4 linked regions of the Sus scrofa genome follow. The protein of the gene in region 1 purifies or fractionates together with the protein of each later gene. This does not show direct contact. Links are inferred from orthologs where the notes say so. Each region holds a gene or a part of one and is shown on either strand. Other genes may lie near its edges.

Region 1 (5,673 bases):
CAGCCTAGACTACTCACTTCCCTCTTTAAATACAGATGCCACTCTGCAGGGGTGATATTAAAAGTATTAACAACTAGCACCACTGTGGTACCAGCCAATCAGAAAGGATGTCTGACCAAATAAACACATTGTGCCCCAGTGGGAACTGCTGGTTGAACATCAGCCCTCCTATTAATAACAATACAAAACAGCAACATCAAACTCCAATACAACTTTCTCTCCTGATCTTCACAATCTCATAAATTAGTCAAAATAAGTACCATTCCCATTTTCTGCATAACTAGATGTTGGGACTAATAACCAACTGCTTCTTTCACATCACATAATTTTCCTGTGTATAAACAGAATTCTCAATAAATACTTATAAACTGTACTTACATATAACAGCATAAGTATTAAAGGAATATTCAAGATAAATGAAATTCATTTAATTGACAAGCATTTAAGAGGAACTGAATACTAAACATAGTGCTAGGTTCCAAGACCACAAAGGAAATAAAAGGTATGTTCCTTGCTCTCTGGGCACTTATATTCCAGAGTATGTAACAGTGCAAGATGATAGAAACAGACAACACTAAGCTTACTGCTATACAGTTTAGGGAAGTAGAGTTCACAAACTAAACCAGTACAGAAGTCAGCATTGAGAACTTTTCTCCTCATACTTCCAAATGAGGCAAAATGAAATATGTAGTGAAAAGACTAGAAAGCCAGGAATGGGAGGGAAAACACAGGAATGGGAAAACAGAAGGTTTGCAGTAGTGGGATGTGAGATCTCTGGGTACTAAGTGATGGCCCTAATCATAAGCCTCAAGTACTGCTCTAAGCACTGAGTACAAATGGGAAATCCTGTAAACCCTTTGAGAGGATGGCTAAGGAAGATTAGCTTGGCAGCAGCCTATAAGCGAGAGAAATACTGAAAAGCAAATGGATTTGGGGGTAGGGAAAAGAGGCAGGACTAAACTGACAGCTGAATCCAATGAGGGGAAGAAACATTCAAGAAGCATTAATGTAAAGAAGAGCTGAGTTTCAGGTATATTTTCAAAGAAAACATTATGAAAGAGCACACTCACATGGGTACATAAGCAGACATACTGGTAACTAAACTGTGCACCAATGACAAGGAACCAATTTCCCTAGAGAAATTTATGTTGGAGAGAGAAGCTGGGCAAAGAAATACAAAACTGATAACCTGGACAATGAGGGAACAACTACAAACTCTTAGAAAGGAGTTTAAAATTACAAATTTTAAAAAACATCTGAGAAGTTCCCACTTTGGCACAGTGGGTTAAGGATCCAGCATTGCTGCAGCTACAGTTCAGATTTGATCCACTGCCTGGGAACTTCGATATGCCATGGATATGATTGCAAAAGGAAAAAAAATTAAAAATAAATGAATAAAAAGACCTGAGCTTCTTCAGAATGTATGAAAGGATAAATGGAAACATCAGCGTAACCTACCAGGGCAGGCAGACCAGTTGAGATAGTCTAGACTTAAGGATGATAGCACCTGGATCAGCTTTGTCTTGTCTGCATGCCAGTGTAGTCTATTAACTCCTCCAGGGCACAGACTAAGCCATGCTCTGTACATTAATGAAGTCCAATATTGTTACTTGAATATAGGAACACTCTGTGTGCTAAGCTAGGTGGAAAAGAGTGAACTGTGTTATTCGAGTTAATTTTATGCTTGATGCATATCTATATTGATTCTCCCACCTGTCTTGACCCCCTTCTCAGGCCAATGTCAAAAATTCACTGTTTCCTCTAATGAAGGCCAGGTGTGAAAGGACTCCAAAAATGTACTAGGAGCCAGAAAAAAGCCAGCCTGTTTTTCTAATTATGAGGGCAAAATCTAAAAGTGAATAATAAAAATCAATTATTCATTAGAGGACTAAAAAAGAAAAATGGGCTTCGCCAGACAGTTAAGTGTGTATCTTAAAACGTATAGGTTTTGCAAACACTGAACCCTTGGTACAAATCCTAACTCCAGCTCTTAGTAATTGATACTTAACCCTCTCCACACCTCAGTTTTCTCATCTATAAAATGGGGCAAATGCCACTGGGCCCTGAGGGATGTGAGGATTAGATAGTACACTTTTGGTGTACCTTATGCACCTATACCACAGTAAGTCTTCTTTAGACAGCTGCTTATAGTAATATCTGGCACCCTAAGTACTGAGTTTTTTTGTTTCAAAAGCATTTGCTGTTCAGTTACAGAAAGAGAAACTTATTTTAGTTGCTTATACTAAGGCTCTATATTTCAGTTTCTAGTATTATAGTTGGGATGCTAACAAAGTTTTTCACTCCTCCCTCCACGGGGTAGATGATGACCATATACCCTTTCCCAATTTATATTTTGGAAAATGCAGCAAACATTCTCCCTTGAAAACCAGCTATACAGACAACTGATGAAAACTACCGTCACTCAAGAAATGCAACATCTCTAGAGATGTCCTTCGAGGAAATAAAACGTGTGATCAACTCAGTCATTTCCATTCAAACATTCCAAACCCCGCAGAGTGAGCAAACGTTCAAGTTTCTACTACGAAACAATTTGTAGCCTTCTGGTTAGTGGATTCACTTCAACACTTCCCCAGACGCACGAAAAGAAGAAACATTCCGCACATCTCAGTGCCTCCTTGTCCTCAAACAAAGCTTCGCAGCACCTCCCATTCCAAAGCCACCCCTGGATGAGGAAGCAGCCCCTCTCGGCTGGGTCAGACCGGCGCCGAAGGCCAGGGAGGCCTGCTGACCCGAGGGTCTCTGCTGACTCGGGGGTCACACGTCGCGCCCTCCCACTGCTGGAGGAGGCCCTGGAGACTTGGAGCTCACACTCCGCCCTGGAAGCCCCCTCCGCCCCCAACCCCGCCCGGGCCCCCGGAGCCTGAAGCACCTAACAGCTCTGGGTGCGGTGCCCGGGACAACGCCACACAGCGACTAGCGGGGACTCGGGGCAGCCCCAGCTCTCCAAGTCCAGGAGAGCCTCGCACCCTGGGGCCCTCGGCCTGCGCCCACTCGCTTCCCAGAGGGCAGCCCCCAACCCTGGACGGCTCCGCCCGACGCTACCTCCCTCAGAGTCTGCAGCTCGGGCGGCCGCGGGCTGCCGGGCACGTCCGCCCGCGCTAGAACCCACGCCCTCGCCCCGCCTCGGCCTCCCGCCCGCGGCTCGCGTGGCGGCAGCCAGGCACTTAAAGTCCGGCCTCCGCCCGGGCGCCGCCACCTGCGCCCCCGGCCCCGCGCCATGTTTGAGAAAGAGAAGGAGCGAGCCAGAGGCCGGGCCCGGCCGGCGCGCCCCGCAGCCACCGCCAGCTCCGCCGCGCCGCCGCTCACCCGTCGCCTCCGGGACCAGCGTGGCCGTCGCCGCCAGCACGAAGAGGAGCAGCCGGGAACGCGAGCACCGGCCGCCACCTCCATGGTCCCGCCGCCACTGCCTGTGGCCCGGCCCGGCCCGGCCGCCGCCTCGCCTCAACAAGCTTCGCCTCGCCCCACCTCCCCCGCCGCCGAGGCGGCCTCGCTCCGGCCCTTTGTAACTGCTTGGGGGCCGCGCGACCATTGGCTGTCGGGCTCCCGCCGGCCCCGCCTCCCCGCCGTCTGCAAGCGGCCAAGCGGGACCTACCCAGGAGCACCGCCCACAGGCCCGCTGGGCAGCCAATCCAGAGCCGCAGGCTTCCGCTCACTGGTCACGCCCCCAAACTCCCGGGGGGCCGGGCAGCCAGACCCCTGCCCCAGCAGGAGCAGCTCCGAGTTCCGTGGAGGCCGGGTGGGGGCAGGGTCTAGCCCAGACGCTGCCGAGGCTCCCGCCTTCAAGGGCTAAGGGCTAAGAGCTAAGGGCTGAGCGATGGGTGTGTCTGGGTATGAGTTGCTTTCGGAAAAAGGCTGTGGCTGCTCGACGCTTTTTTCTCCTAGCCTCTTTTCTTCTCACCTAAGATGTGGTACTAAGCCCGACCCCAGTTCACAGCCCTGCACCATCAATTCCCCACATTCATCCAGATCCTTAGTACCATCAGGCAGGCTTCAACTTCCCCTCCCCATATCCACGTCTCAACTTTCAAAATCCCCGCCCCACGATGCTGCTTCAGTGCCTTTCGTATATTACCCAGTCTACTGTTTCCTCCCGCTGTCACATCCACCCAAAACCTAGATACCCACCCCAAAATTCTAGGCCCAGAAAGTCTCCAAATCCTGGCCTCAGACCTCAGATCCTGAGCTCAGACACACCCCCAAACTGCCTCCCGCCCCTCTCCGGAACTCAGAGCCGACCCAGACTGGGCTCCAAACCACACTCCTTTCCCCTTCCCCCTTCCTGATTCTGCGGGGCAAGGGAAGAGCCTCATCCCTATGCCCAAAGGAGAGGGATTCCTGTTCTTAGCACGCAGCACCCCCGGGGCGGAGGAGGAGCAGTCATTAGTTTGAGCTGCCTCTGACACGCCTGCACAATAATTCTGAGGTGTCACTAGAAACCCAAATAAACTCGGCTACGTTTTCATTCTGAATTCCTAATTTACTGTGAGACGCTCCACCCACCTTCCCTCTGGGACGCCAAAATGAGCTCCAGATTTGTAATTCTTCCCGTCAGACTAGTCCTCTCTTCAGACACAAACACAACCGAGAAGGCTGTTACACAGAACAGAGAACATTTTTCCACAGAACCTTTTAAGGAGAAAATTTTATTTTCTGTGTGATTTGAACTTGGAATTAAATAAACCTTGGTAGCAGGACTCAGAACCAGCCTCTAGTATTGATTTGTAATTACTCTAGCGATACTCCGTGAGTATTTTACAAGCCTGTGAAGACTTCCCTCCTGAGCAGTAAAGAGGCAGGGTAGGGGTGTTGAAGCTGAGATCTGAGACTGGCACTATTCCCATTCTGGCTTGAGCAACTCAGTTAACTCAGTTAACCTTTCTGAGCCTCCACTTCTTCATCTATACAAAATGGAAATAGTATCAATCTTCCAAAGTTAGTGAGAGGATATATTAAGATTTAGGACTCCCTCTTTTCCCCCTTCAAATTCTACTTCTAGGCCCTCTCTCTACATCCCTCACCTGCTCCTCTCCTCTGGGCAGGCAAGGGCCTGGTATTCATACACACTGAACCATCTACCCAGGGATGCAGCTGCTGCTGAAAGGAAGGTTCTAGCCTGCTCTCTGAGGCTGCCTAAAACCACCAGCAGGAAGCTTTCCACTGGCTCCCTGCAGCAGGCAGGCCAACCTAGGAGAGCCTGCTTTTGCCAGGCTCCAGCAGGGATCTACTTTTTCAGTTCCAGTTTCTTCATTGGAGTTACTTGGTAAGTCAGGGCCTTGTGACACCTGAGGCCTCTAGACTGCTTTTTTGCTGCTCTATTCTCAATATTCTTGCTTAAGATAAGAGCTCAAAAGATACTAATTGTGTGAATGAATGCATGATTTGTCTCAGACAAGTGACTGTTCTCTCATCATTAGGTTATTCATCTCTAAAATGGAAATGCAATAGTACCTGCTCTGTTTATAAATAAAAGGGATCGAATCACATGTCTTGGGCCCCTGAAATGACGTAATGTGTCTGAAGAGTGTCTGGAACATAGTAAATATTTGGTAATGTCATTTCCTTTGCCCATCCCCTTTCGGCTCTGTGTGATTCTAATCTGCATTCATGTCCGTGGTATACTGTGCCTTTGCCTTACAGAGCCTCAGTTAATCA
Region 2 (5,053 bases), on another chromosome or scaffold:
CTCTGCTCATTGATCCCGGGTCAGGTCCACCTAAGACAACAGCTACGGGTCTGGGGTCCTAAGTCACTGGCGTGCGGCGGGGATACTCTGTCTTGATGCCTCGCCACGTCTGCGCTGCCCCCAGAACGCTCCTAAAAATGGGGTGGATACGTGCACGAGCGGCTTAGCGGATTCCTTCCTTCCAACAGAACACCTCTGGTCAGCAGTCTGCGACGGAGCCCCTCTCACGTCTTCATTCTAAGCCGCTCAGTCCTGACTCCGTAAAATCACACCGCCTGGAGTCTGCAGACACCGCCTCTGCCTGTTTCATGTTCGGCGGGTCTTCCTCAAGAGCCTCTTTCTCAGCACTTGCGTGTGTGGCCACCGTTTTTATCACCTACCCTTGGGTACCATGACAACTAACTGCCCATCAGCGTGAGGGTTAAAAATGACACTAACAATTATAACCCTCCGTCTTTTTTGTACCTCGGTCACTTTAACTCCACCTTGAATGACAGACTGAAGAGCACCAGGTAACATACTTAAAAAAAACCACACGAGATGAAACGTTTCAGTACTGGACAGAGATGGGCCCCGAGGGTGGTCTGTCCTTTCAGTGTCACCATGGGTCAGTGCCTTAGAGTGTTTCCTCGGTGAGGAAGAGCTGAATGGTACGTTCTGTAAAAGTATCGCTTTATACAGATGAGAAAGTTCTTACCCACTATTTGGCCACGAACTGCATCAGTATCTGAGGGATTTAGTTTGCATAGATCCAGACGCTGGTCTGCAAACAAACAATTCAAAACTTAACCCAGGGAAAGGTACACCAGGGAGGAAGGCAGGAGTTCTGCATTTAGTACAAAAAAAAAAAAAAAGAAAGAAAGAAAGAAAGAGCGAAAGAAAAGGATGCCTCGTAAGCTTTCTTCGGTTACATCAAGAGGCAGAAAAGCGCCTGGGCCTTACATCCTGTGTCTTTCAGTCTGCTGACGGCATTGGACAGCAGCCGCACACACCCCAGGAAGCCAGCTCCCTGCTTCTTGTGAATCTTCTTGTGGTTCCACACGCTGATGGTTATGGAATCCGTTTTCCCAACGTATCTGAAAACAACACGCAAGCTCTCTGGTGACTGTATTTCTCACTTAGGACAGCCCGCTGGGGTTTTATCTGACCTGCTAGTACAGGAGAATCCTTTGAAAATAATGCTGGCTCAATAAACGTGTGTTACTAAGGCCAGTGGCTTAGGGAAAGGACTACATCCGGTTGTGGGAGACACAGGTGTAGACAACCCCACACTGAGAACAGTGATCTTGGAGACCTACTATGTTTTAACAGTTCCGAAGCTAAGGGCAGGATCCGTAAGTTCCCACCGCCTAGGCTTCACATGGAGAGCACTCGTCTGTGATGCAGGACTCCTTGCCTCCCTCCATCCACCCGAGGCCCTTCGGTCGAGCCCACACTCAGTGCAGGGCAACCAGAGACGGGCGCTTTCAGGTCGAGAATCGACAGCCACTGCCCAGGTCACTGCCAGGGCTTCGGGGTAACAGAAAGTGACACTTAGGATCCAACTAATGAAAAATCCCACTCAAACCCAGTTTAGGTTGTGTAATAAAAAAACCAATAATCACTTAATGTAACTTTAACAAAAGTTTCTGAGCAGGGATGTGAACACAGGTGCCTATAAAACAGTGATTTTCAAAGCGCATCCATTTAATGACAGAACGCAATGTGGGCTTAGGACATTCAGTCATATCAAACTATTTTCTCTTGCAGAAACTATATTTGTACTAAAAGCAGGATTTTAGAAAATGGACAGAAAAGACATAGTCACGTCATAACGACATACAATAACAGTGTATTTTAAGCAGTGTATTTGAAAACCATGTTCAGGGTTTTACTGAAAAGCAGGAGCACAGAGAAGCCGTGAAAGTATGGCCCTTTTTTCCTGTGAGAAGGGCCAGGAGATTGAAAGTTCGAAGATCACAGTTATAGACACAAACCATAAACATGTCTGAAAACATCAAATCCAAGAACTTCCAGGAATATGAATTCTAAAAGCAGGCAGTGTGTATTTGTTTGCCTATCCCCATTTTTCGCAATAAGTAGTTAGTTACTGCTCTTTTTTTTTTTTTTTTTTTTTTTTTTGAATTACATGCTTCTCTTACGAGCTGGATACCTAGGTTCCCGGCGCTGCGCAAGTGGCTAAGAGGATAGTCAAACTCACAGGTCGTAGTGCTGGTTCCACTTGGGGTCCAACGTGTTTTTCACAGTGTCCGTCGAGTGGCACTGCCCAGATCCGTCCACAACGATCTTGGCAAAGGGGTCGGGGAGTCCTAAGGGGCAGAGGACAGCCACACCGGATGAGGCTAGAGATGCATCAACAGGTCACAGGCCCGCAGGTAAGGGGAGCTTCGAGATCATCTAATTTGGTAAAGAAGCTTCTTACCCTGGTATATCTATGATTCTCAAATGTAAGGTTAGTTTTGATCAGCAAGATAAGGTATTTCCCTTCAGCTTTTCTAGGAAAAGTGACCCACAATGATATCCTGCTCAGATGTTTGGAGGCTAGAAATGCAAACTATAAAAATAGGCTTCAATCCAAACTTCCATTTCTGAGGATCCTAGTTAAACAGAGGAAAAGGTGTCTCCAATTAATTCTATTCATCCTTTCTTAAAAAAATAATAATACCTAGAAATCTTGTTTACTGGCCTTGGTCTATTTTATCTACACAGAAGCAAGGATTCACCAGGTCTTAATTAGGTAAGTGCCCAAATGCTGGAGAATGAATCAGACAGGTTTAAAAGACCAGAGAGGCGGCCAGGTGAGGGTTGCACAGGCACACCTGGATGTGACCCATCACTCTGGAACTCCTGGCTACTTGAATAAAGCCTGTGAACCTCAGTTTCTCCATCTTGCGAGTGTGAATAAAACCACAGAGGAACCAAGCAGCATTCCCGCAACGATCAGAAAGCACGAGAACAACTTCGTGCCCCAGGCACCTCCTCTACACGAGGTGAATTTCTTAAGGGGAGAGTCCTTCCTTTAGAAAAGGATCTTTTTTTTTTTTTTTTTTAAGATTCCTTTAATTACAAGGCTTTTAAAGTGTGACTGAATTTATAAAATGTGACTAACAATTTTACTCCAGACTTACAGAAAAATGTCTCATCTGTATCTGAGTGAGAACACTTCACCCAGCAGAAGGCAACATACCGACGGATGGAAAGACAGAGGACACAGGGTGTGGCCAGAACAGGGAAAGAGAGAGAGTCCTTTGTGTAGGAGTTATAGATCCTGCGCCTTGGAGCTAAGGCGCCTCTAAGTCGTAACCAACGGGGAAGTGAAGGCAGGGCTTTCAGGAGAATACAACACAGTGTATTTGTTTGGTTTTAAATTTTAAATTTCAGAAATAGTTGAAGAACATTAATATTCTAAGAAAGCAAAAATGGGTGTGTACTTACGGAAGAAGTCTTTCTTTGCAAGGTTCTTGGCGCATAATACTAAAAACAAACAAAAAGTGCTAGGGTTAGAATTTATGGACTCGGTTTTCACCATAGTCAGTTGCTCTGACTGGAACTGCATCCCATCCAACACGCGTGCTGCGGCTCTAGCCCCCAGGGTGCCTGGGGTTAGATGAGGTCCCCAGGGGGACCTCCTCCTCCTGGAAAGGAGCCCACAGGGCTGCTGGCTCCCCTCTGCTCTCCGTGTCCACCAGCCAAGGAAGAGGGCCCTTAGCTCGCCAAGAGCCGCCTCTGCCGGCACCTTGGTCTCAGGCTTTTCCAGCCTCCAGAACCACAAGAAATAAATGCTGGTTGTTTCCGCCGCCAGTCTATGGTCTTTTGTTAGAGCAACCCATACTGACTGAGGCACTACTCTATATTTGCAAAGGAAAAAAACAAAAACAAAAAACCAAACAAACCTCAAGATTATCTTTGCCATTGATTCTTTGAAATTTAGGGTTACGGTAAACAAAACACTGTCAAGTAACGAGTAAGAGCTTTCTCCTCCAATAATTAGAATCAACAACAGCACATCAAATTATGTTTTAAACTTAAAATCTTCATAGCACAGGGAACTATAGACAATCTCCTGAGACAGACCATGATAAAAAATAGTAGTTTTAAAAAAGAGCATATATATGTATGGCTGAGTCACTTTGCTGCATGGCAGAAATGAGCAAAATGTAAATAACTATACTTTAACAAAAAATATTTTTTAAAAAAAACCTTGGAGTTCCCGTCGGGACACAGTGGTTAACGAATCCGACTAGGAACCATGAGGTTGCAAGTTCGATCCCTGGCCTTGCTCAGCGGATTAAGGATCCGGTGTTGCCGTGAGCTGTGGTGTAGGCTGGAGGCTACAGCTCTGATTTGACCCCTAGCCTGGGAGCCTCCATATGCTGCAGGAGTGGCCCTAGAAAAAGGCAAAAAGACAAAAAAAAAAAAGATCTTGTGAACCCCCTCCCCAAAAAACTTAAAATCTTAGTTAAATGCATACAGCTACATCTAGCAATGTGCTCTTCTATCTACAAAGGAGCACATTAAAACCAACTCAAATGAAGACCTATGCGATTTACCTTCACAGCTACTGCTAACAACAAAAGGGAGCGCACATTTTTGATATTCTGATAAATAATACAGTTTTGTGAATGTCACCTGTGGTATGCTGGAGAATAGAAAGGAGAGAGTGACAGAAAATATACGGGGCCATCATCAAGTGTTGTGACAAACAAATGACAAAACGCATGTTAAGAATTTAGCACATGCTGGCATGCAGAAAGAATGCAATACATGCAATTGTTATTTTATTAATAAGGCGGCATTGATTACTGATAGGAAATTTTGTCATCGGATCTGTTACTCTATCAAGGGAAAATGCACCAATATCTCGTATTAAACAGCTTCACGAATTTGGCTATTTTTTTAAAAATATCATGTTTTATAGTGCACTTATTTTATTAAAAATTTCATATTACATATTGTGCTGCAAACTTTTCACTTATGATAATTTTTATGTAACTTTATCAAGACACAATTCGTATACCATACCATCCAACCATCTGAAGTGTGTAACTCAATG
Region 3 (5,053 bases), on another chromosome or scaffold:
TTCAAGTTGGGAAATAGGGAAAATAACACTACATTATTAATCTTTGTAAGCTAATATTCATACCAACATTGTTAAGTCAAACCACTCTCATTTTTCTTTGATAAGAAAAAGCCTTTGAGAAATTTTTTTCTACATGACAAATAATGATACTCTGCACACTGCTCACCCTTTCAAGATCCTGAAAAGTTGTACTGATTTCCAAAGTATTTATCTTATAAAAATCTCATGCAAAAAAGCTTAGTTTTATCTAATTGTGTTTGAGGCATAAGGACTCATCACAAATTTTTCATAAAAATAACAAATGCCAAGAAAATAATCATTTCTTGGAGTTCCCGTCGTGGCGCAGTGGTAAACGAATCTGACTAGGAACCATGAGGTTGTGGGTTCGATCCCTGGCCTTGCTCAGTGGGTTAAGGATCTGGCGTTGCTGTGAGCTGTGGTGTAGGTGGCAGATGCAGCTCAGATCCTGCATTGCTATGGCTCTGGCGTAGGCTGGTGGCTACAGCTCCAGTTCGACCCCTAGCCTGGGAACCTCCATATGCCATGGGAAGCGGCCCTAGAAAAGGCAAAAAAAAGAAAAGAAAAGAATCATTTCTTACCTGCATAGGTTTGGTAAGTGGATCCATTCTAACTAAATAAACTTCCAAGGTACGTTCTTTTTTCATGGGCAATGGAAGTGTCAGGTAACAAAAAGGATCAAATGTTACTGAAATCTTAGCACATTCAGGACAAACTAAAGTTGATTTAAAAAGGCCATGAAATATATCTACAATGATAGAATCATTTCTTTTTAAATGGTTTTCCCAGGCTTCTTCAGCAACTACCTATAAAGAAAACAGACACATATTACACAGAGGTATCACATTATTATATCAATGGTGACAATAATATGGTTAAATTTACCTTATCTGGCCTTCCATCAGCATCTTTTAATTGTATATATGGTTTTTTCCTAATTCTATTCAAATCCTCATGCAGTCCATCTAATAGGAAAGCTAATAGTTCTTGACAGTCCTGCTGCTGGTATCCAGAGAACTGAGGTGCAAAACGTCCTACCTGAGTCTGTAAGAAAAACAAAACCATAAAATCAGTTCCAGGGACAAGACTGATTACAAAAATATATACTTGACTTTCATTTATAGATTCCATGTTTGTGAATTCAGCTACTTGCTAAAATTTTACTTATAACTCTCAAAATCAACTTGTGGCATTTCTGCAGTCATTTACAGATATGATGATTACATATGGATAAATACATGTAAATAACTGCATACCTAAAAGCATTTTAAAAATGATAAATAGAAAAGAACAGTTGACCTGAGGAGAAAACAAGGAGAAAACACAGTACAGTTTTGTACTAAGGATTGGGAAACACTAAACACTATTAAAATTCCGTAATTTTTTTGAGTCACTGGAAAAAAAAGACAATGCTCTCATTTAGTTTCTGTGTGTAAAGAGAAGATAATCTCATAGAGATAAAAGGAATATCAATGTTCACATATATTTTCCTAGTCTTTACAGCACTGTTTTTTTGGTATTTTTAAATTATAGTTGATTTATAATGTTGTGCCAATTTCTGCTGTACAGCAAGCAAAGTGACCCAGTCATATACATACATTCTTTTTCACTTTCTTGATGTGAAAGAACAACGTCAAATAACAAGAACCTACTTGGAGTTCTCATTGCGGCTCCAGTTAAGAACCCAACTAGTGTCTGTGAGGATGCAGGTTTGATTCCTGGCTTCACTCAGTGGGTTAAGGATCCAGTCCAGGGCTGCCAATGTAGGTTGTAGACGTAGCCAGGATCTGGCATTGCTGTGGCTGTGGTGTAGGCCGGCATCTGCAGCTGATTCAACCCCTAGCCTGGGAACTTCCATATGCTGCAAATATGGCCCTAAAAAGAAAGGAGGGGAAAAAAAAAAAAAAAAAAAAAAAAAAAGAACCTATTTACACCTAATTTTAAAACAGAACATCTTGCAAACTGAAACTAACTGGAATCATGGGTAATGGTTAAGAAATGATTTGTCTAAACTAGTCTGTCCAAGGCTTAGAAAGTTAAGGAAGATAAGCACAGGAGTTTTTTGATTTGTTTTTGTTTTTTGAAGAACTAGTATAATGTTAATAAAATGCTGCCTAGTAGATGCCCTATATGAACATCATTTAAGTTGTATTAAAAAATGGCTGAAAACCACTTATTCTCCTCAAAAGTTTAAAATTTTTCATAAATCTTATCTATATAATTAAAAGTTTTTTTAACAATATAAAACTATATTTCAGTTCAATTTTATCTGAATGACAAAATAATTACTTGAAATTTTATTGATTCTAAGAAATAACCACTTCACAAGAATAATCTTAAAGGTTTAAGAATTATATTGAAAATACATTTAATATTTGTGCTTAAATGAAGAGTAGTTTCATTTCAATAATTTTCAAACTTACAATGACTCTCAAAATAAATTTAGTTCTTAGAGTTTAATGACATGCTGAAATTCAGTCTCTGCATTTGTATAAAATAAAATAACCTGTAAATGTTCACTGCTGTCTCTCTATAGTCATTCTGAACCATACCAGTGTTTCTCAACCTTTTTCCACAATTTCATTTACTATCCCCCACAACTCTTCCTGGACATTTAATCATCTATTTCAAGCCCCACTCTGAAAATCTAATACCAGATACGCCGTGTATCTATTTATGTGTCATGTCCCTTTAGGGGGTCATAAACCACTGTAACAGCTATGATTTTTTTTCCCCTTTCCCAAATATTTTGTCCTCTTGAGGGTGAGACAGGCCTTGTTGAAAATGTGTTTATGATACTTACCTTAAAGGCCCTTGGTGTAACGTAGCTAAATTTTCCAGACCACATTTGCTTGATCAATTCGGCGTAAGATTTAGCTATTTCACCTCTCATTCCTAAGGGATTGTCAAAATTCAGCTCTTCTTGATACTTATCATTCAGGAAATATTCGGTAAGTGGTGGTGTATTGCTCAAACACTGCAAAGAATAAATATATTTTCAAGTAAAAGAAACCACACATGTTAAACATGTTTAAATGAAAAAACTAACAAAGTGATTTGCCATAATACATGGAGACGAATTTACATGATGGTCTCTTGCACTAATAAGTAACTGATCCAATAAACATTCAAATGATGTACTCAACTATTTATTTCCCAAATTTTAAAATGACTTATAGTAAATGAAAATACTAATTATTCACTGCTGTAGGATCTGTATTTAATTTTAACCACAGCAAACTACCTGTTAATGGGGTGAGAAGCTCAGAATTTTCTTTCCTTCTTTCACTTGGCTGGTAGAAATTATGGATTTGCCTAATCATCCCGTCCATCTGCAAATTAGCCTAAGTAGGTAACAACTGACATGGAGTACGTGGGAGAATTGAAATTCAAGGAGGTATTTACTGCTTCCATTGTCAATTCCTTATCATGAAAGAGCAGCCTTCTAAACCTTCCTTTTGGGTCAACCATTTTTAGATGGGACAGTACAGATTAGCTGAGCCTAAGAAAACAAACTTTTGTTATACACACTCTGGCTATATTTTTACTTCTTCCAGTTCTTCTTGAATATCACAACAATCTAATTTTCCTTTCTAGCAAGACTGAAACTATAAAGAAGTTAATTCTCCAACTCTGTTCTATTTTGAATTAAATAATTTAGGATTTAAAATAAAAGATTACAGAAGTACAGTTTTTCCATAATATTTTATCTCAAGATGAAATAATTTTAAGTGGATAATACCATATAATGTGACTTCATTTTGAACCCAACATTACTTTATCAATTAGACGTCTACAGCCATTAAGGAGAATATGTAATGATTGATGCAGACATATGGTCATATAGGTAACCTTTTCGTTGGCTGCAGGAAGATATCTGTGTTGGAGACAAGTGGCAAAGTGCTTTAACTGAAGCTGGTTGCTTGCATTTAGAGTAGTAGAAACCCATTCTTACAAGATTTTGGATTTATATTAATGTAAATAAAAGTTTTTCAAAGCTTACTGACCACTCATATGGATTAAGTTAAAAAATTTTTCTAACTATGAAAGATTCAGCCTGCTGCATTGATGCTGATAACGTCGATGCTATAAGCTATGACTATATATGCGTATGTTTGGTTAAAACTCCAAAATTAAGCATATTCAGTTAAAAAATAAATTACAGTGTTACATTTTGTGGTTTCAATTTTAAATCAGTTTATGTGTACACAATACCTATTCTGGAACTTTCAATCAAAAATAATACTGTTCAAATTGTTAGTCTGGCCCTCACCTCAGGGTAAAAGGGAGAATTTTTTATAATATCATGGAACTTGTAACTTATTATTCTTAAGCTATGGAAATAATATGAATAGTTAAAAAGTGTCTGAGGTGAACTATTCAGGCTGTACAGTTATTTACAAGTAATACTCAAGAGTAAAAATTTTTATGTGAACAAAGGAAGATAGAGGTAGGCTACAGTAAAAATTTTTATGTGAACAAAGGAAGATAGAGGTAGGCTACAGTGCATGTAGGAGGTAAATGGGAAAATATTTTTTTTTTTCTACCTTTCCTCTTAATTCATTTTATATCTCAACCTTATAATCTTACAGGCCTTTTGAGTTTCATTTTCTTTCTTTTTTTGTAATGTATGTCCTTTTAATTATAAACCCCGCACTGGAGGCAGGGCTAGGCAATCTATAAGATACCATGGCTACACAGGGCACAAATGTCAACATTCAGTAGTATCACCGTATAAATGAAATCTATAGCAAACTGTCAATGAGGCAAAGTGGAGGTCAGACAGCATTACAACAATTATCAATTAGTTTTCAAATCCCAATATTTGATCAGCTCAGGGTTGTATTAATAATAGAATAGTCTACTACTGTGTATAACACAATTATATAAAGAACCTAGTGCTTTACCAAACACTTCAAAGAATCAAGTTGTGCAAACATGAATAATTCTTGAACTCTGAGTTTTTTGGCCACACTCATAGCATGTGGAAGTTCCCAGGCCAGGGATCAAACCCGAGCCACAGCAGTGACAATGC
Region 4 (5,053 bases), on another chromosome or scaffold:
TAATAATAACAACTTATGTGTTTCCAAAGAACAGATTCCTAAAAATGGTGCTGTTAGTTAAAAGGCATATGTGTTTTCATTTTGCTAAGTGGTATCAAATTGTTTTCCCAAAAAGCTGTACCAATTAGTCACAGTCCATGAGACTGACGGGCCTCATATGTAAACTAGAAAATTTTAGCCAATAAGACTTGGGGACATATTCTGTACAAAAAAGTATAACATGCATGTTTCTGGTACATACGGCAAGTTCTACCTCTTAAAGCTGATCATCATAGTTTAATATTTAGAAGAACTTTAGATACCATGAACCAAATGATCTAACTAAACACTTCTAAACTCTCCCATCAACAGGTGATTTTGTAAAACCAAGAACATTTTCTGGCCTTTTTAAGAAATACATATAAACATATATTTCTTATGTAAACTCACAATATGCTTATGTATAAATAGGCCAAGTGCTAGTAATGAGTCTTTGGTATTCGTGCCTCTGGGCAGTCCCTCCTCCACACCAAACCTGGGCTGGCCTGTGACTGCCTTTAACCAAGAGAATACAGCGGAGTTCCAGGCTTGGGCCTTAAAAAGATCTGACAACTTCTGCTTTTGTTCTCTGAGAAACCAGCCACCCCATCAGAAGTCTGGCTATGTTTCCAGAGAAAGAGGCCAGGAGAGCGTGAGAGGCCTCTGACAGCACCCGGGGATAACCAAGGAAGCCAGCCAACGGTGAGAAGGAAGCCGCAGATGGTGACGAAGGGTCCATCCTGTCCAGCCCCCAGCCGTCCAGGTGAGGCATCAGTTATGTGAGGGGAGAGGCATTCTTACCATCGTGGCCCCAGGTGACAGACATCCCGTGGAGGAGCAGCGTGCTATCGCTATGTCCTCCACCCAAACTACGGACCCACGGGATTGTGGGAAATAAATACATGGTGGTTATTTCTATGCCACTAAATTCTGCAGCATTCTATTTTATAACACTGCCTAAATACATAAATGTTTTTCTGTATTGCCATTCTAGAACATTAAAACAGTCCTCTGGCTTAAGAACATAAAAGTGTTTACCTGACATATTCTTTTTTATTTTCTTCAGTGACAGGGATACTCTTGCCATTTGGCTTAAGTTCATGCTGAATAATTTCACCATAGGCATTATGTTCCACACAGAAGGTATGGTCCAATACACCTGTAATATCATTCTCACTAGAAAGGAAAAAAAAAGAAAGACACTTCCTTGGAAAATCTAAAATATAGAGTTTACAGATGTATTAATTGGTGAGACAAAAAAATAAGGTAGTTTTATGACATGACAAATATAGGGTCAGATTCCTTTTACTAGTTAATACGCCACCGTATCGCCTAGTTCTTAGGCAGAAAAGTCAAAAGAGCTTTAACTTCATAAACACAGGGAACGTTTTACTTCCAGAGCAAAGAGAAAGCCCTGGAAAGCTGGGCTTTACACGGGGAAACCTCAGCTATGTTTGGCTTTCAGGTAAGAAGCTCTGCCTGAATCTACGTAACCCGAGTGACCAAATGCCTGAGTAACCCCACTGAGAAAGCTACTTGTGTACTCGGTAAAAATAAGTATGGCCAATATAGCTTCATAAACAAAAGATCTCCCAAAAAACAGAACCGATTCTTACAAACATCCTTTTTAAAGTATGGTTTCAACAATCACCACTTCAGCAGAAATTTGTTATTCTAACACACGCAAAATGGAAACAGAACTTGCATCATGTTGAGGAAATTGTTATATGTAAGTTCTTTTAAAAACAGAATATACTAGATTTTTCCCTTTTATAGTAGTAACACTTGCTAACTTTTAGGAATTTGAAATATACATAAAAGCAGCACAAAGAGTCAAAGTCTTACGTGGTCCTATCACTCAGATAATCACCCTTAACATTTTCTGTGCATCATTTTTTAAATTTAAAAAAAGCATATCCATTTTGAAATGTGTATCTTTTTTTTTTTTTTTTTTTTGGCCATGCCCTCAGCATGCTGGGCCAGGGATCAAACCCACATCACAGGGCAACCTGAGCCACAGTAGGACAATGCTGGATCCTTAACCCTTAACCCTGAGCCAGCCAGGAAACATGTATGTTTTTTAAAAGCTCATATTCTAACTACAATGAACACAAGACTCAATACATACAGTATCCACACTAAACTGTTATGAAGATCTGGATCAACTAACTCCATGTCATCCAAAGTAATGGACTTTCCAAGCAACTGTTTATAAAAAGGCAACGTGAAACCACCATCAATATAATGTCCATGAAACACAGCCATTCCCATTATTCGTCCAACAAAGTGGAAATATGATAAATGTTCCTGAAATTGAAAAGAATTTATATATAAATATTCAAGTAAACACTATCAAGGGAATTTTAATAAAAATTAAGTATTTAAGCAACAGCAATTTGAAAAATAAGAAGTATCAACTTAGACTCTTATTTACAACTATTTAAATATCAAAACCAACAATCATTAGGGAGAGTTTCTACAGGGCATGCATAAGATACTCCACCCATTGCTATAAAATACTATAGCAGTGTCAAGGCCTCTCTCACAGGGCATCACTTTGTAGAGTTTTTCTTTAGAAATTAAGGTTCAAACTACTGCCCTTTGCATTTCATTAAATCACCTGCAGATCCTATTCTCTTCCCTTCCTCACATCTCCTGAGTCCTTTACAATCCTGGCTCTGTCATGGGGAAAAAAGCTTTCAATCCCATACCTTCCTCTTCCCTTGACCGAATCAGAAACTGAACTTCAAAACATCACAGATTTTTTTTTAATGTTTTTTTAAATTTTATTTTAAAATTTTATGTATTTATTTAGCTTTTTAGGGCTGCACCCGTGCATATGGAGGTTCCCAGGCTAGGGGTCAACTTGAAGCTACAGCTGCTGGCCTACACCACAGCCACAGCAACACAGGATCCAAGCCATGTCTGCGACCTACACCACAGCTCACGCCAATGCCAGGTCCTTATCCCATGGAGTGAGACCGGGGATTGAACCTACAGCCTCATGGTTCCTAGTTGGATTCGTTAACCACTGCACCACGACGGGAACTCCCAAAACATCACAGATTTAAGAACACAGATTTCACACCTAACTTGGAGTTCTGATTCTGCCAGTTCCTAACTATACATATGTGGGCAAGTTACCCCCTTGTAGGACTAATTTTCCTTATCTGGAAAAATGAGGGTAATCATGGTATCTAAAAAGTCTCTGATGAGTAAAATGAGATGATGAAGCTCAAGGCACTGGACCTGGCATACAGTAAATGCTCAACAAACATGAGCTATTATTACTACGTTGACAGTAATGGGGTCCCCAAGCAGAACTTTTATCTAAATATCTTCCCTTTATAAAGAATACCCTGCAATGAATCTAACATGCCTATTATGTTTGAATAGATTTGGTTTTTCATCATGTATTATTAATTGGATATATGTATTTTATTTTATTTTTTGTCTTTTTGCCTTTTCTAGGGCTGCTCCTGCGGCATATGGAGGTTCCCAGGCTAGGGGTTGAATTGGAGCTGCAGCCGCAGGTCTACACTCGAGCCACACACGCTGGATCCGAGCCGCGTCTGCAACCTACGCCACAGCTCACGGCAACGCCAGATCGTTAACCCACTAAGCAAGGGCAGGGATCGAACCCGCAACCTCATGGTTCCTAGTTGGATTCATTAACCAGTGCACCACGACGGGAACTCCTGGATATATGTATTTTAAACTCTTTTACTTCTCTACCTTTTCTTTTTTTTTTTTTTAGGGCCTCATCTGCAGTATATGGAAATTCCCAGGCTAGGGGTCAAATCAGAACTGCACGTGCCAGCCTACACCACAGCCAAAGCAATGCGGGTTCTGAGCGACGTTTACAACCTACACCACAGCTCAAGGCAACGCCAGATCCTTAACCCACCAAGTGAGGCCAGGAGTTGAACCCACATCCTCATGAATCCTAGTCTGGTTTGTTACTGCTGAGCCACAATGGGAACTCCCTACCCTCTATCTTTAAGCCTCACTTTTTTTTAATCTTAAAAAAAACTTTCTCTTTTTAAAGAGCAATACTGTTCACTACAAATATTTAGAAAACAGACAAGCAAAAAAACAAAAAAAACAAAACAAAAACCTAAAAACCAGTCTACGTATATATATATATATCTATATATGTGTATAACTGAATCACTTTGCTGTACATCTAAAATACAACATTGTAGGAGTTCCCGTCGTGGCGCAGCGGTTAACGAATCCGACTGGGAACTATGAGGTTGCGGGTTCGATCCCTGCCCTTGCTCAGTGGGTTAAGGATGCAGCGTTGTCATGAGCTGTGGTGTGGGTCGCAGACACGGCTTGGATCCAGCATTGCTGTGGCTCTGGAGTAGGCCGGTGGCTACAGCTCCAATTCCACCCCCAGCCTGGGAATCACCATATGCCATAGGAAGTGGCCCAAGAAAAAGGCAAAAAGACAAAAAAAATAAATAAATAATAAAATAAAATACAACATTGTAAACCAACTATACTCCAATATAAAATAAAAAATTTAAAAAAACCCAGAGACCAACACTCAGAGATAAGCTCCATCAATATGTAGTGTAGAACCTTTCAATGTTTACACATATACGTGTTTACCAAAACTGCATCATACTATTTTATAATCTTCTTTTCACTTAATATATTACAAATACCATCTTTATATGTCATTAACTATTATCCCACAACATCACTTCAGTGGCTGTATAACATGTACTTGTATGAGAAGGTAATAAAAATAATATGAAAACAACAAATTAATAACAGCTGCTAACTCTTGTTGAATGCTTTATAATATGTAATAGGGTTGCTGATGTGCGAAATACTTAATGTGCAGGGTCTCATTTAACTGTCGCAACCTTCTCCTAGGTACGAACCATGTAATTATTAGCAATAATAAAACTGAGACTTCAATCAGGTGAATCTGCCTACGGTCACAAAGCGAGTTAGCAATGGGGCCAGGATATGATCTCATGTCTTTCTAATTCCAGATTTGATGCTCTTAACTATTACTATC

The links. Proteins that work in one complex are often made in the same cells at the same time.
Region 2: the proteins of TGFBR1 (region 1) and SMURF1 purify together in Homo sapiens (affinity purification with western blotting; 3 studies listed by BioGRID). This does not show direct contact. The link is inferred for Sus scrofa from reciprocal best matches to the Homo sapiens genes TGFBR1 and SMURF1.
Region 3: the proteins of TGFBR1 (region 1) and USP15 purify together in Homo sapiens (affinity purification with western blotting; 4 studies listed by BioGRID). This does not show direct contact. The link is inferred for Sus scrofa from reciprocal best matches to the Homo sapiens genes TGFBR1 and USP15.
Region 4: the proteins of TGFBR1 (region 1) and SMURF2 purify together in Homo sapiens (affinity purification with western blotting; 8 studies listed by BioGRID). This does not show direct contact. The link is inferred for Sus scrofa from reciprocal best matches to the Homo sapiens genes TGFBR1 and SMURF2.

The regions. Positions count from the first base shown.
Region 1 is NC_010443.5:240,857,978-240,863,650, reverse strand, and holds the start of TGFBR1 (TGF-beta receptor type-1), read right to left. Parts: upstream 3,566-5,673; 5' UTR 3,551-3,565; coding exon 3,328-3,550; intron 1-3,327. UniProt on the Homo sapiens protein: Transmembrane serine/threonine kinase forming with the TGF-beta type II serine/threonine kinase receptor, TGFBR2, the non-promiscuous receptor for the TGF-beta cytokines TGFB1, TGFB2 and TGFB3.
Region 2 is NC_010445.4:6,057,126-6,062,178, forward strand, and holds part of SMURF1 (E3 ubiquitin-protein ligase SMURF1), read right to left. Parts: intron 3,475-5,053; coding exon 3,436-3,474; intron 2,310-3,435; coding exon 2,201-2,309; intron 1,077-2,200; coding exon 943-1,076; intron 764-942; coding exon 698-763; intron 1-697. UniProt on the Homo sapiens protein: E3 ubiquitin-protein ligase that acts as a negative regulator of BMP signaling pathway. Mediates ubiquitination and degradation of SMAD1 and SMAD5, 2 receptor-regulated SMADs specific for the BMP pathway.
Region 3 is NC_010447.5:27,057,714-27,062,766, reverse strand, and holds part of USP15 (ubiquitin carboxyl-terminal hydrolase 15), read right to left. Parts: intron 2,996-5,053; coding exon 2,822-2,995; intron 1,063-2,821; coding exon 904-1,062; intron 825-903; coding exon 600-824; intron 1-599. UniProt on the Homo sapiens protein: Hydrolase that removes conjugated ubiquitin from target proteins and regulates various pathways such as the TGF-beta receptor signaling, NF-kappa-B and RNF41/NRDP1-PRKN pathways.
Region 4 is NC_010454.4:14,475,883-14,480,935, reverse strand, and holds part of SMURF2 (E3 ubiquitin-protein ligase SMURF2), read right to left. Parts: intron 2,326-5,053; coding exon 2,147-2,325; intron 1,195-2,146; coding exon 1,057-1,194; intron 1-1,056. UniProt on the Homo sapiens protein: E3 ubiquitin-protein ligase which accepts ubiquitin from an E2 ubiquitin-conjugating enzyme in the form of a thioester and then directly transfers the ubiquitin to targeted substrates.